2 linked regions of the Saccharomyces cerevisiae S288C genome follow. The protein of the gene in region 1 interacts with the protein of each later gene in a pairwise test. Each region holds a gene or a part of one and is shown on either strand. Other genes may lie near its edges.

The links. Proteins that work in one complex are often made in the same cells at the same time.
Region 2: the proteins of JEN1 (region 1) and SOA1 interact in a protein complementation assay, tested with the Saccharomyces cerevisiae proteins (one large-scale study listed by BioGRID).

Annotation. Positions count from the first base shown.
Region 1 is NC_001143.9:18,887-27,224, reverse strand, and holds JEN1 (monocarboxylate/H+ symporter), read right to left. Parts: upstream 4,992-8,338; coding exon 3,141-4,991; downstream 1-3,140. Other genes in the region: OXP1 (5-oxoprolinase), read left to right, coding at 1-398; URA1 (dihydroorotate dehydrogenase), read right to left, coding at 1,066-2,010. UniProt on the Saccharomyces cerevisiae protein: Essential to lactate transport.
Region 2 is NC_001141.2:30,113-35,560, forward strand, and holds SOA1 (Soa1p), read right to left. Parts: upstream 2,455-5,448; coding exon 826-2,454; downstream 1-825. Other genes in the region: YIL165C (uncharacterized protein), read right to left, coding at 3,606-3,965; NIT1 (Nit1p), read right to left, coding at 3,975-4,574.

The sequences.
Region 1 (8,338 bases):
GTGGTTGGAATGGCTCAGACGCTGTACACACGAATATGACCAATACAAGAATGACAGATACTGAGGTATTTGAAAGGAGATACCCCGTTCTGTTGAAAGAGTTCTCGATCAGAAGAGGTTCAGGAGGCAAAGGTAAATATACTGGCGGAAATGGCGTAGTAAGGGATGTTCAATTTCGGAAGGCTGTAACAGCATCTATATTATCAGAACGTCGTGTCATTGGCCCTCATGGTATAAAGGGAGGACAAGACGGTAGTAGAGGTGAGAATTTATGGGTAAGACATAGCACAGGCGCATTAATCAATGTCGGCGGTAAAAATACGATTTACGCTCAACCCGGTGATCGATTCATCATTAAAACCCCTGGTGGTGGGGGATTTGGACAATACAAGGATTAAAGCATTTCTTTTTGGTTCTTAGTCAATATCGAATTACACGGAACCATTGGTATACCGTGGATGCGCCAGCCACAAATTGACTTTTACAGAAAGTACAGTTTAATTATATAAGAACAGGCACTTAACAATGTTTCGGAACTCTGTAGATAAAACCAAATTACTCTTTCGAAAAGGCTACATTCTACATCAAAATCACCTGTGCAATATATATATATATATATATATATATATATATGCACATATTCGTTAATTTCTTCACTTTTTTCCCCAAATATTAAACAGATGGCTTCATTTCTTCAACATTATTTTCTGGTTCCTATGCCATTTTTAGCCTACTAATAATTATCGTTGAAAAATGTTTCTTGAATAAGTCTTAATGTAAGGATATATCATATGTTGAGATATAAAAATTTAAGTATAAATGAATCAAGACAATAATTTACATTGATTAAGTTATTTCAAAGTATAAGTATTTAGTATCATCATCTATTAAAGCACATTGAACCCTAATGTATGATGCCAATTGCGAATGCACTCACCGAAAAATTAAGGAATTAGCATTTACCAACTATCCTTGATTTATGCAATTTCAAAATAATAAAATATTCATACGAATCTTAACACTCTTCCATAACTTGTCCCATCATAGTTCTTCAAATTCCGATAATTAAATGCTGTTCAACTTCCCACGGAACTGATCTATGGATGTATAACCCTTAGCTTCCATTATGTCTTTTAATTCTTTTTCGATACGTTCAAAAATCTTGACGCCCTCTTTTTGTAATTCTGTACCAATCTGTAGCATAGAGGCACCACATAGAAGATGTTCAAATGCATCCTTACCGGACTTAATTCCACCTGTACCGATAACTTTGATTTCAGGTCTCAAACGAGTGTAAAATGCACGAACATTGGCGAGCGCGGTTGGCTTAACATATTCACCTCCAATACCCCCGAAACCATTCTTTGGCTTCACTACTACACTCTCCTTCTCCACATCAATGAAAAGACCATTTCCTATACTATTGATAGAGTTGACATAAGCTAATGGGAACTCGTTCAATATTTTTGCCATGATATCAAAATGGGCAAAATCAAAATAAGGAGGCAACTTGACACCAAGAGGTTTTTTGAAAAAGGCAAAAACCTTTTCCAAGGTTTCCTTTGTCAAGTCAAAGTCATAAGCAACTTGTGGTTTCCCAGGCACATTAGGACAAGACAAGTTTAACTCGGTAATACCGTTGAATTCGCTATCTTGGATTTTCCTCAACAAATTTAAATTTTCATCAATGCTCATACCAGCAACTGAGAAGAAAATAGCAGGTGCATCAGGATAATTCTTTTGACGGTTTAATACATAGGACAAATAGTAGTCGATACCTTCGTTTGGTAAACCCATGGAGTTGATACTGCCTAGAGGGACAGAAATGTAACGTGGTTCAGGGTTACCTTCTCTTTCTAAGGTTGTAGCACTCTTTGTAATGAATGCGCCAGCTTTAGAGTTTGCTAATTCATCTAATTCTTGTGTAGTCATGCAATGAACACCGGATGCATTCATAAATGGGTTTTCATAGGTATTGTTCAAGAACTTGGTAGTTAAACTGGCTGTCATGTTTGGTACGGAAGTTCAATTTTTTTTTGAGTAATTGTGTATATCTATTTGAAACGTCTAGTAGTCCAAACTGTGTAATCCAAGAGAAGAATACCGGTTCCCGATGCGTATGCCATGCCATATATAAAGCTTTTTTTATTTTTTGGTGATGGGCATCTTGAAAAATTTTCGGCGAATGCCGAAGATCGTGAAATAACCTTCGGCAAAGCCCGGTGAAGAAAATGGCTTCAAGAACATATTAGTGAGAAAAAGTAGGCTGTAGTGGCTGAAGGATAACATTTAGTAAAATCACCAAATCTAAAGTAGAGTAAATATCTAATAAAAAAGGCTAGAATTGTTTCGAAGTTTATCGTCCGATCTTATTACATGGGGAATACACTATTTAGGGTGGGAAGATACCAGATTGACTTGGATCCAAGGTTAGGGAATGACCTCAAGAGGAAAAAGCGACATCTGTAAGATCGAGGATGCTCCTTTTCCTTTTTTCCCCAAATGGGCCGCAGCTGTGAAGCATATCGTTATCATATACTGCATTTTTCTGCTATCGTTCTATGGATGCGATACGTAATATCTTGATACTTACTTCCTTCTGCAAGATTTCTATGGTAAAAAAGCTTATGTAGTGAAACCTGCACAGGCCGAGCTTTGATTGTGTATAAGCATACATCCCCCTTCAAAGGTGAAAAGTAATGTCGAAGTATATGGCTATCCAGCCGCACACTGTCCTCAGGGCCCATTCAGTGCAAGAACCAAAATGCTATATTTCTGAACGGCCTAAAATGAATAACGAAATAATTTTTTCCACTTTTACCAATTTGCTGTTCGACTAACATTTCTTTTCTATTACTATTATTGTCTTATAGTGGCAAAAGCAAGCAAAACAATTTAAATTCTTAGACACAGTAATCTACCATCTTGCTAGTGTTAACGGCTGTTATGTTTCTTGCGGCGCTATTTAAATGTACTTACATTCTAATCCCTTCGAGAAAATTAATACAACAAAAATTCTAACTTTAAAGTATGTCGTATATCATGTCTTTTATGTAATGTTATAAAGGCTATAATATGAATATATGTGAAATGCAGTTACATAGAGAAGCGAACACGCCCTAGAGAGCAATGAAAAGTGATTAAACGGTCTCAATATGCTCCTCATATGTCTTTGAGACGTTCGAATCAATCATCTTCACTGAAGCACATTCCGTCTTTTGTTCAACAATGTCACTAATCGAAAGACCATCGGCTTCGTATTCTTCCACTTGGTTTATATATTTCTTCATAACAGGAGAGGACAAATCACGATGGAATTTCTCATGGCCAACAAAAACACAAGCAAATGTGAAGATGAAAACAGAACCAGTCAAGATAGCCATAACTTTGGCATAATCTTCTTTAATCACAGCACCAGAGGCATCTCTTTCTAATGGGTATCTATCAGCTAACTGTGTCTCAATCGTGGAAGCCGCTGCAGAAGCTAGATTACCTAGCTGGTAAGATAAACCGGCAACCAAAGCCCTTGCATCAGCAGGGGCCAACTCTGCAAGGTGAATGGGCAGGATACCCCAGACACCAAAGACACAAAAATATAACATGAAACCGGCACCTAATATAGCCTTTTCGCTTCTCAACATAAATGCAGGGTAGGTGAAGCAACCACCCATTGTGCATGCAATCAATAGGCCTAATCTTCTTCCAGTAACTTCCATGAACTGTCCAAATATCATACCCCCACAAATAGCACCGATGTTGGTAACCACTACAATGACAGTGACAGCATCCTTGGATAGGCCTAATTGGGCACGCAGCATGGTTGGCAACAAGTCTTGAGAAGCATGAGTCAAGTAATTTGGACCCACCAATAAAACAACCAAATATGCGAACAACAACCAGTACTTTTGAACTGTTCTCTTCATGGATACCATCTTTTGTTTAAAGTTGGCTTTTGGTAGAGGCTCGCCACCATTAGCTTTCACTGCGTCACTCAATATTAATTTACGGGCTTTCAAAACCTTGGTGAAGTATTTCGTTTCAGGCCATAACAATCTCCAGAAAATTAGTAGAATTGGTAGAAAAATACTAAACCAAAACAATATTTTCCAGCCATCATCCCTAAAGTAGCCAAAGGCTCTGTAAAAAATGATAGCAAATATGAACCCCATAGCGTAAGCAGAAAAAAATAGACCTGATAGGAACGAACGTGCTTTCACAGGTGCATCTTCAATCGCTGTTGCAGAAGCACATCCGTAAATTCCTCCCATAGCAATACCGGTTATCCACCTTACGCCCAGAAATTTCTCGTATGTGTCACACCATGGAGTACAGAGTTGTGCAATGACAAATAAGAACAAACATGTAATGTACGGCCACTTTCTGGAAGACTTATCTGTCCATAAACCAAATATGACAGCACCTGCTGAACGAACAAATAACACCAATCCCAACCCCCAGGTGATGTCCTTGGTTGGTCTGTCATATAGTTCAGCCAATGGAGCGACTGATACTGAAACGCAAAAGAAGGCCCAAGCCGCAGACAACCACGCAAAATAACCCATAAAAAAATAGTTCCAATTCTGCCATGTCATTTTGCGCAGTTCGGGTATGGGATTGACATTCTCCCAAGAAAACTCGTGGATGTGCAGTAAGGACGTAAATCTCGTTAAAGCATAACTTTTAATGGACGCAGCGCTTAGGTTTGGCTTATCCTCTTCATCTTCCTCATACTCTACACCTTGATCCTGGCTATAAACTCTTTCCAGCAATTCATCATCTCTTGTATCCTGAATTGATTGTGCAGGCAGTGATGGGTTATGGTATAGCTTTTCGTGATCCGGGTTGTAAACTTCCGGCTCATAATTTATAGGGTTACCTTCTCCGTCCACTAGAGGAGGCTCTGCAAATGTACTTGTGTTATAGTATAGTTTTCTGCCAGCAGGTTGTTGCTGTTCACCAGATATTTTCTCATCTGTAATTGACGACGACATATTTTCAGTAGCAGTATTTAATCTCTTTGAGGAAAAACTTTTGAAACTGTTACTCTTCTTCCTTTTAGATCTAAGGGAGAAGGACTAGACAACTTCCAAAACTATTTCTCAACAATGATGTGCAATGTATTTATACATCAAGAGGGTACTTCACTTTGCTGATTTTTTTTTTTTTTTTTTTTTTTTTTTTTTTGGTAAAGGATAGTACCATAGGAGATAGTAAGTGTTACTTAGATCTCCATCCAAATGACCAGGTAACGTTCTAATGCATTATAGTAGAAGGGGGGGCAAAAGACCGTTAAGTGAAGAATTATGGACGTCCGGATGGTGTGCAGAAGCTTACAAACTAACTTCCTGGTGGAGAATAATGGTAGGCTTGGCGGCTCTGAGATGGAGAAATAGTTTCAAGCCGCGCGCTCAATAACTTCCTCGATCACTGACTTTCGCACCCATCTGGGAACGGTACGGCGAATAGTCTTCATTTAATTGGAGCTGATCGAAAATGCTTGCTGCCGCTTCAGCGTGAATGACGCAGGTGCTGCGTTTGTCCTGTGCCTCCTTTTTTTTTTGGAGTCCGTTTGTCGGCTATTAGCTCTTGGGCTCTAACCCCAGGAAAAGGAAAAAGAGAAACACGCCGGTCTAGTGGAGTAAATTGCGGGGTCAGGATCCCGCGCGGATATCGGCCGTTCAAAGGGTGAAAAGAAGAAATCATTGGAGTCGTTGCGAGTCATTCTTTACGAATCTAATTTCTCCAAATTTTTACAGGTATTCTTAGCCGCCCAAGGTAGCATACAATGACCTTCTATTGCAAAAATGTACAGTGGAATGTAAAAACAGTGGGGACAAACCTGTGGAACACTAAGCGTGGGGGTCCATCCACTTAAACTAAATCGTATTGTTTAAAAGTGTGCAAGCATTGCGATAACGTTCGATTAGACTCTGAATGGAAGACAATGAGTTGATTTTGCTACCAGCAAAAAAAATAATTTATAAACACATTATTCTTGCAATATTTTTCATACTGTGCGTTTATACCTTTTGAAAATTATAGATCCATTTATATATTAATTAACATCCGAAACAAAAGGAAAGTGCGAGGACCGGCCCACCCGATGACTAACGGGAAAGTGGACATGATTTGCCATTTGTACGGGTAATATTTACATATTATTTGATGTGCTTCTTTGGATTGTGTGCAATCACTTACTTCACAGTGTCTATGTAAGAGATGTGAGAGTGTAGCTCGGAAGGTGGAGACATCTCCTAGATCTTGTCTGGCTTCGTTGGGGTAGCCATGAGAAGTTTTCCATTCCCCCGGGTCATGCATGCTGCCCGAGTCAAATAGCGTTTAACTTTGACTCGTACGCCATAATAGGTTATGTTTTATCTTTGGTCAGGGACCCCAGTATTGAGAAAGTAACCTAGGGATGCTACGCCCCAGCTTTACTACGTGGATGATACAGTAAGCACATACATATTGACGGCATCTAATCGTTCTAAACGGAAAAATAGGCGCTGATTTGATCCACTTCGGTTAGGTAACCGCTGATGCCAACGATCTAGGGCCCTTCCATTTTAGGAAAAAGGGTATATACTCTGATGCCCTGTCTGGCCGAACATTCGTATATGTGGATGTATCGTGATCCGTTCGTATTCAATAAAAGTGTAACGATCTCATCTCAAGTCAAAAGTGAGAAGGGAATAACTAAAAAAGAAAAACTGATATTTTGACGTGACGTGGTTTATTAGCAAGTATGTTTCAACCATTCTCAGCGTAAACCCTATCACAATAACGTCTCTATGAAAAGTTTAACATTTTGTCTATCTCGGTTCAATCAGTTGAATAGCGAACCTTATAGCAAATAGCATTTTCAATAAAAATGTGACATACAGACTTCCACTTTTCTTGCTTTTCTCATGCTCTGTGTGATGCTACTGTTACCGCGGCACCACATTTTGGCATACGTCGGGACATTGGCGGCTGAATAGATTATACCCGTCGCCCTTTTTTCATCTCTCCTTTTCTTTTTGTCGTAAGCAAATTACAGAATTGAATATTTGAATAACCCTAAAAAAAATGCCACTCCCCTAAAAACAAACCAGATTAAGTTGCAAGAAATAGACTGATTGGAACATACGGGTCCTATTCAGTGCTCAATAAAAATTAAAATAATGTGATCAAACAACCCGAGACTATTCTTGAATTAGCATTAGCCACTATAAATTTTAACATTTTTCAGAGTCTTTCGTGCGGAGACCGTAAATATTAGCATTGACCTTGTCAATGAAGTAATTGTCTTTGATTTTAACCGTGTTAAAGATTTCGCAAAAGAGAAAGCTTGCTGGCTTGGAGCAGTAACTTTTTTTGATTTTTTTTTACAAGCACACATGCTTTTGCCTTTAGAATATTACGGCTCCTCATGTGGATAGTAAAAACTTGACCGTTGCATCTGTTCTCCTTCGAACAAAGAATAAATCGTCTGAAAAATCACATAGAAAAATAATAGAAAAATAAAAAACATAGTAACATATTTTAAAAGAGACCTTTTATTGAAGAAAATTTGGCGATAAAAATGATTATAACATTGAAATGACGAAGAAAAGGACAGTGCCCGAATTCTCGATTCCAATAAAAGGCGAAAAATTACAATCGCCAGCATGTTTGGTACGGGGCGACTCGTGGCATTTTAAAGTACGCTGGCATGTTTAAAGGTATTAGTGTTCTTGGCGTGGAAAGTGCAGGTGTCTCACTTTTTAGAACGAACAAATTCAAACAATATACAACAATCCGCCGAAAACATTCCAGAAATTAAGATTGTTAAGCACTTTTGCTAAGAAAAAAAAAGGGCTCTCCCCTGTGAATTAACTCAAAGGTAGCGTGTTCTGCCTATGCAAGGTGACCGTTTTTGCAGATATTGTAGTGAGATGCTCTACAAAAGGGGTTTCCTAATCTAATCTTTTACCATATCAAAAATGCCCTAATATTATTATTAAAGAGCTATCAAAGCCTGATTCCTTAGGTATATGACTAGTTCCCGAATTAATGGCATTGATTCATTACTTATTTTATTAGGGGGATGATAAAAATAATGATATCTTTTTCTGCAGCGTCATTTAAGTACTGATTGAGACTGACAGTTGTGATAGAGATATTAAGTAGTAGAAACGGTCCATGAATTGTTCTTTGTTAATATTCTTGCTGAGGGAGGCTTTTCTTTTGGGCTGCTATGCTTTCATTCTACTTAAGCAACGAGATAGGAAGCTTCAAAAGGTGAATGGTGAAATGCTGAAGAAGATTTCGTCATTCCAATCCTCGAGAGTGCGACGTAAGTAGTGACTCTAATGAA
Region 2 (5,448 bases), on another chromosome or scaffold:
GACTTATTAAGATGTGTTTCATTTTTTTTCGTTCTAGTCTTTTTATTGGATGGTGGTCTGGAAATTCAATCTACTGATACTACAGTATTAAAGCAATTAAGCACCTAGGATGAAGCTCCTGCAAGTAGCTTGGTAGATGAGAAATGTTAAGCGGATAGTAACGCTGAAGCTATGCTATGCCATAATAATTTATAAAAAAATCAATAAAAAAGAGTGTATATTGATATTACTAATATGTAGAAGAAAGAATTAACTAGTATAATTCGGAGAGTAGTAAAGAAAATTTTATTTACATATGAATGTAGAAATTAATTCTACGATTCACGCGGAATATTGTGAAATCTTGAGATAAGAAAGTTGCAAGAGATCACAAATGAAGGTTATCTGCAAACAGCATAAACAGATGACACCTTATGAATGTAAGGTAACATCGGTAGCTTAGCGCGTTGACCTGTGAGCTCCTACATAGAATATTTGTGTGCTTGGGGATTATTTGAGAAGCATTAGGCTGGTTCAGAGGAATATTTACAATTGGTCATTGTATTTTGATATCAATTACCGAAGATTTTGGTGTTATTATGTTCAAAAACTTTTTTTTGTTTCCGTGAACACACAATTGCTGTCACCTGCTTTTGTGGTATAGCAGTGCAAAACTACTAAAAAGCAATAACATCCCATGACCTTTACCTTAAAAACTCGAAAAAAAAAAGTTTTTGCATTAACCTTTTGTTGCTCTGGTGTAATAATTTTTTTTGATGTATGACTTCTCGCTTTTGCGTGTAGCATTACTCTAACAGCAAAAATTTTAATACACGAAAACTTAATCTAGTGAATAAACCTATAATCAAGACGCTTCATTCCCTTATCTTTAGTTGTGTCCAAGTAATTGATCTGCTCTTCTTTTGTCATAGAGTTCCATTTGCGGTCCTTGTATTTATTCCTACTAATATAGTAAAACTTAGTAGCAACAGCCATACAAATGTTGAAGCAAGTGAATCCTAGAAGTATTTTGTTACCTCTAGTATAGTAAGGTTTATCATCATTTCTATACATGTTAGAAGCAATGATTGCTCCAACTTGGGCACTCATATTGTATAACGCTGTGCCCACTGTACGCGATCTTACCGAATTTGAAATCTCGGAGACCCAACCAGCAAGAATGGAATGTGTATAGGGAAGACCAAGTATACCGGTTAGTAATATATACTTGATCCAGGGGTTTGTGTCAGTCGGTAAAGCGACCAGAGAAACTATGAAAGGGAGCACCCAAACGTTGGCAATTCCCACACAAAGTGATTTTTCTTTCAATTTACGCGATAATAGTGCCGCTAATGGTAAATTTATTAGCAGCAGGGCTTGGCCTGGAATTGCTAAAATGTTCGAAAGAAATGTAGAGTAATTTAAACTCTTTAATATCAAAGATAAATAGGAACCAACTGTTTGAAGAGATATGAATGCTGTAATACCTTGGATAAACAATGGCCATAGATCAAATTCTGTTAGAGTGTACAAAATCTCCTTGAAGGTAACTGGTTGTCGGTTACTCATGTCACCCTTTGATGGGTCATCCCTTAAAATTCTGTTAACCATAATTTTCTCCTCATACTCAGTGAATAACGATTTTCCTTTGTGAAATGCAGACTCACCAGTTTGCGTAGGTCCTCTACGCATTAAATAAAAGGATGCCACGCCAACAGAAAGGGACAGAAACCCTTCAATTATAAATAGGTACTGCCAGCCAGCTAAGTTATGAATACCCCTCATCTCTATGATTCCGGAAGCTAAAAGAGAGCCTAAAATTTGGAAAAGAGGTATAGCACACCAAAAGAAACTTAGGCGGAATGTGAGCTCAGCTCCAGTATAATAATATGACAAGTATAGAATATTGTCCGGGATGAACCCGCCCTGTACCATTCCTAATAAGCATCTAGTAGCAATAAATTGACCTCGATTTTTCAGACCAGCTTGAGTAATACAAATTACACTCCACAACACAATTTGAACCGGAATGACCCTTTCTGGACCAAATCTTTTGGACAGCAGATTGCCGGGTAGTTCACTTGCTAGAAATATAACTAGATAAACAGTTTGGCCAAGGTTGTAGTCGTTCGTGTTCATTTTCAAGTCAACAATGAAGTTGTCTGAAACTGCCCTTGCAATATTTTTCCTTATTAAATCCAAAAAGGCAAACATAATAAAAACCCACAAAAAAATCTTCAAGTCCATTTTTCTTACCAATTTCTTTTCCTCATCCTTTGTCCATGTAAACTCAGGATCGAATTTAGACAAGCCTTCATAACCACTGGATTCATAGACTTTTCTCCAACGCTCTGCTTTATGAAAATCGTCAAATGGGTTATGTGAAATACTCTCCGAATCTGATGTTAAGCTTTCTGCGGACACAGATAATTGGGCCTTTTCTACAATATCGTATTCTTCTTTTTGTACGGACATAGATGAAACTTTGTTTGTTGATTGAATTTTTTATTAATTGTTTGTACAATAAATAATTTCAATAATCAACAATTGAACGCTGCCTTTTTATACTAAATGATTCAGTAGAAGACGAACCTAGCGCAGGGAATACGTCATGTATTTGATAGTAAGCGCCAAACCTATTAGGCAATAAAGTGTGACAAATTGGTAGCATTGATAGTTATTCCCAATTGACCCATAGGCTGTTGAAATGAAACCATCAGTATATGTTGAAACCTCAAGTGAGGCGTCAACCTCTAAGTGAGGCTTCAAGCTTCGCCAACTATTATATATGCCACATGACTGCAGGGTCCTTATTTTAAGGAGCTAGCTGCAACGACTTTGTGCTGTAAAGGGGTGCAGCAGCAAATGTAGCCTATTTGCTCGAGGTTTTTCTTTCTTACGAGAATGCTAGCAATTCAAGATAGTACGTTGTAATATGATGCATTTCGGCACAATTATCCGAGAAACGGACTATTTCGGGATTATATCGATCCGAAATTCTCTGCGTCGAGCCGAATGCCAAGGAAAAAAGTTCAGAGAATGACTACAAACAGCCTTGGCGACGGCAAAAGTAAGCTTGGTAAGAATGGCTTGATCCACACGGTGATTCTTGTATCGGGTCAATGCATAATTTTGATTGTGAAAGGCGCAATTATTAAGGCTGCATTCTTTAGCTTGTCTTGACTCCTACCCGTCATCGTACAATCTCCACATTAAAAAATATCACGACATTTATAAATCTTCTTCACACCGGATTAAACAAAAAAACTGTGTTAATCGGATCCGGGAGAAAATGCTAATATCTCCTTCTTGTTTGTGAAATGATGATAACTGGGCTGTTGAACGAAAATGAAACTTCTCAAATACACCTATTTATTAATAAATGTTAATTTATATTTTAAAAAAAGGTAAAAATTAAATGATCAGGTTTGCGATCCTGATTTCAAAATCATGGCTTGGATTATATCTTAGAGACGTATGGATTTCAAACAAATGCCTATTTGATTGAATATTACAGATCTACATTATCTCTTGTACATAAAACATTATATAACAGACATATTGATATTAACGAATATTTTCGAGCCACCATTCATGAAAGCCTAGTTAATGGATTTATGCGGTATTCATTTCGTAAACTTGACATCGTGTGACCTTTCATTGACAGTCAACTGGAAGACATCTCCCCTAGCATAATGTCCGACAGGGTCAAGATCAAAGCGAGCTTCAGCAATCAAGTCAGTGTTAATTTCGGCGGTTAAAAGGCCCTCCTGCCCTAGCAATGGCCCTGCAATAATCTCTCCATAAGGATCAATAATAACACTACCTCCATTAATACAGTTGTCGTCAGCAGATGGCCATCCAGGTAATTTTCTCTTACCTGTAGCTTGGTCAATAATCTCCCCAAAGCCCATTGCTGTCGCATCTGGCATGAACTGCACTGCACTAATCAAGAATAGACGACCTTCGTATGCAATATTTTTCATCACAGTCCTCTAAATAGGCCTAGCATCCACCGTTGGGGCACACCAGATCTCAACCCCTTTTTTATACATGGCGTATCTCAGTAGAGGCATCATGTTCTCCCAGCAGATAGCACCGCCAATCTTCCCAGCAGCGGTATCCACGACAGGCAGAGTCGAACCATCGCCTTGACCCCATATCAGTCTTTCGCCAGCTGTCGGCATCAGTTTTCGATGCTTCCCAACGTAGCCATCTTTAGGATCTATATAAACCATGGTACAATATAATGTCGTCCCATCGCGCTCTATACACCCCACACATAAGGATGCGTCGGTGGCCTTCGATAGTGCGCACAACTGACTAATTTCTGGATATTTCTCTCCGTTTCCGATCTCAATTGCTTCGGCAAGATACTTAGCATACTCCTCCCTTCCTTCTTGAAGACGGTAGCCTAGATAAACCCCAAAGTTCGATCCCTTTGGATAACCACCAAGAGTGGCTTCTGGGATAACGACCAACTTGGCACCAGATTCCTTGATCTCCTTCTCATATGACAAAATTTTTTTCAAGGTATCCTTAGTAGAGCCCGGACAAGAGCCGATTTGAAGGGCAGCAACAATGTGTTTCGCCATTGTGGTTAACTAGAGGTAGCCTCGAAAAGTGATTGGCTAACCCTAAGTCATAATATCACCCTTTCTTATTGAAGAGCTTTTATTATTTATATACACTGCCCTTTATGAGTCACGGAGGCCTGGGCTCCATTTTTTTTACGAAGCAAAAAAGATAGCTCATATTTCGTAAGCATTAGGCCAACTTTACTGATAACCGTTTTCAAATCGCGGTGGGATTAATATAATGTGGCGTTCATAGTGAAATGTGGCTCCAAAGTATAAGCGTAAATGCGTTTGCTTATCGAACCGCAAGTAACTTGTAATTTCACCTCTATAATTTCGAGCGGTTTTTAAGATACACCATGTTTCAAGTAACCACCTTTCGCCTTTTTCCTCTGTTATCGAACTTCCATCTGTAAAAAGTTCGCTTGCAGAAGAAAAAAGGCACTACACGGAAGAGGACTGATAATTAATGAAAATCAAGCTATGATCAAACAACTACTGGCTCTAATATATGGTTTCGGCTACATAATCTAATTGTCATATCTGTTATCTCGACACTCGTCTCTCGATAAACGAGTTCTTCACTGTTGCTAGGTGCAGTGGTCGGCCATAGTTATCCATACAAAATTCCAATTTCTTACGCGCATAGCAGTCGATACATGCAAACATCTCGACTATTCTGGCGATAGCAGTACCAACAATCACCAGCACAAATTTTGTCACCTGTGCTTTGCTAGAGTTACTTCAGTACTAATTAGATTATAATATTTTGCAGCATTTATTGGTATAGAAAGAAAAGCTCGAGCACTACCAACTTTTATCTGATATACCGAAAAATGCATAAATATCTTCTCTAGTTTGTGCGTTTTCTTGTCGCCCTACCTCACAAAAG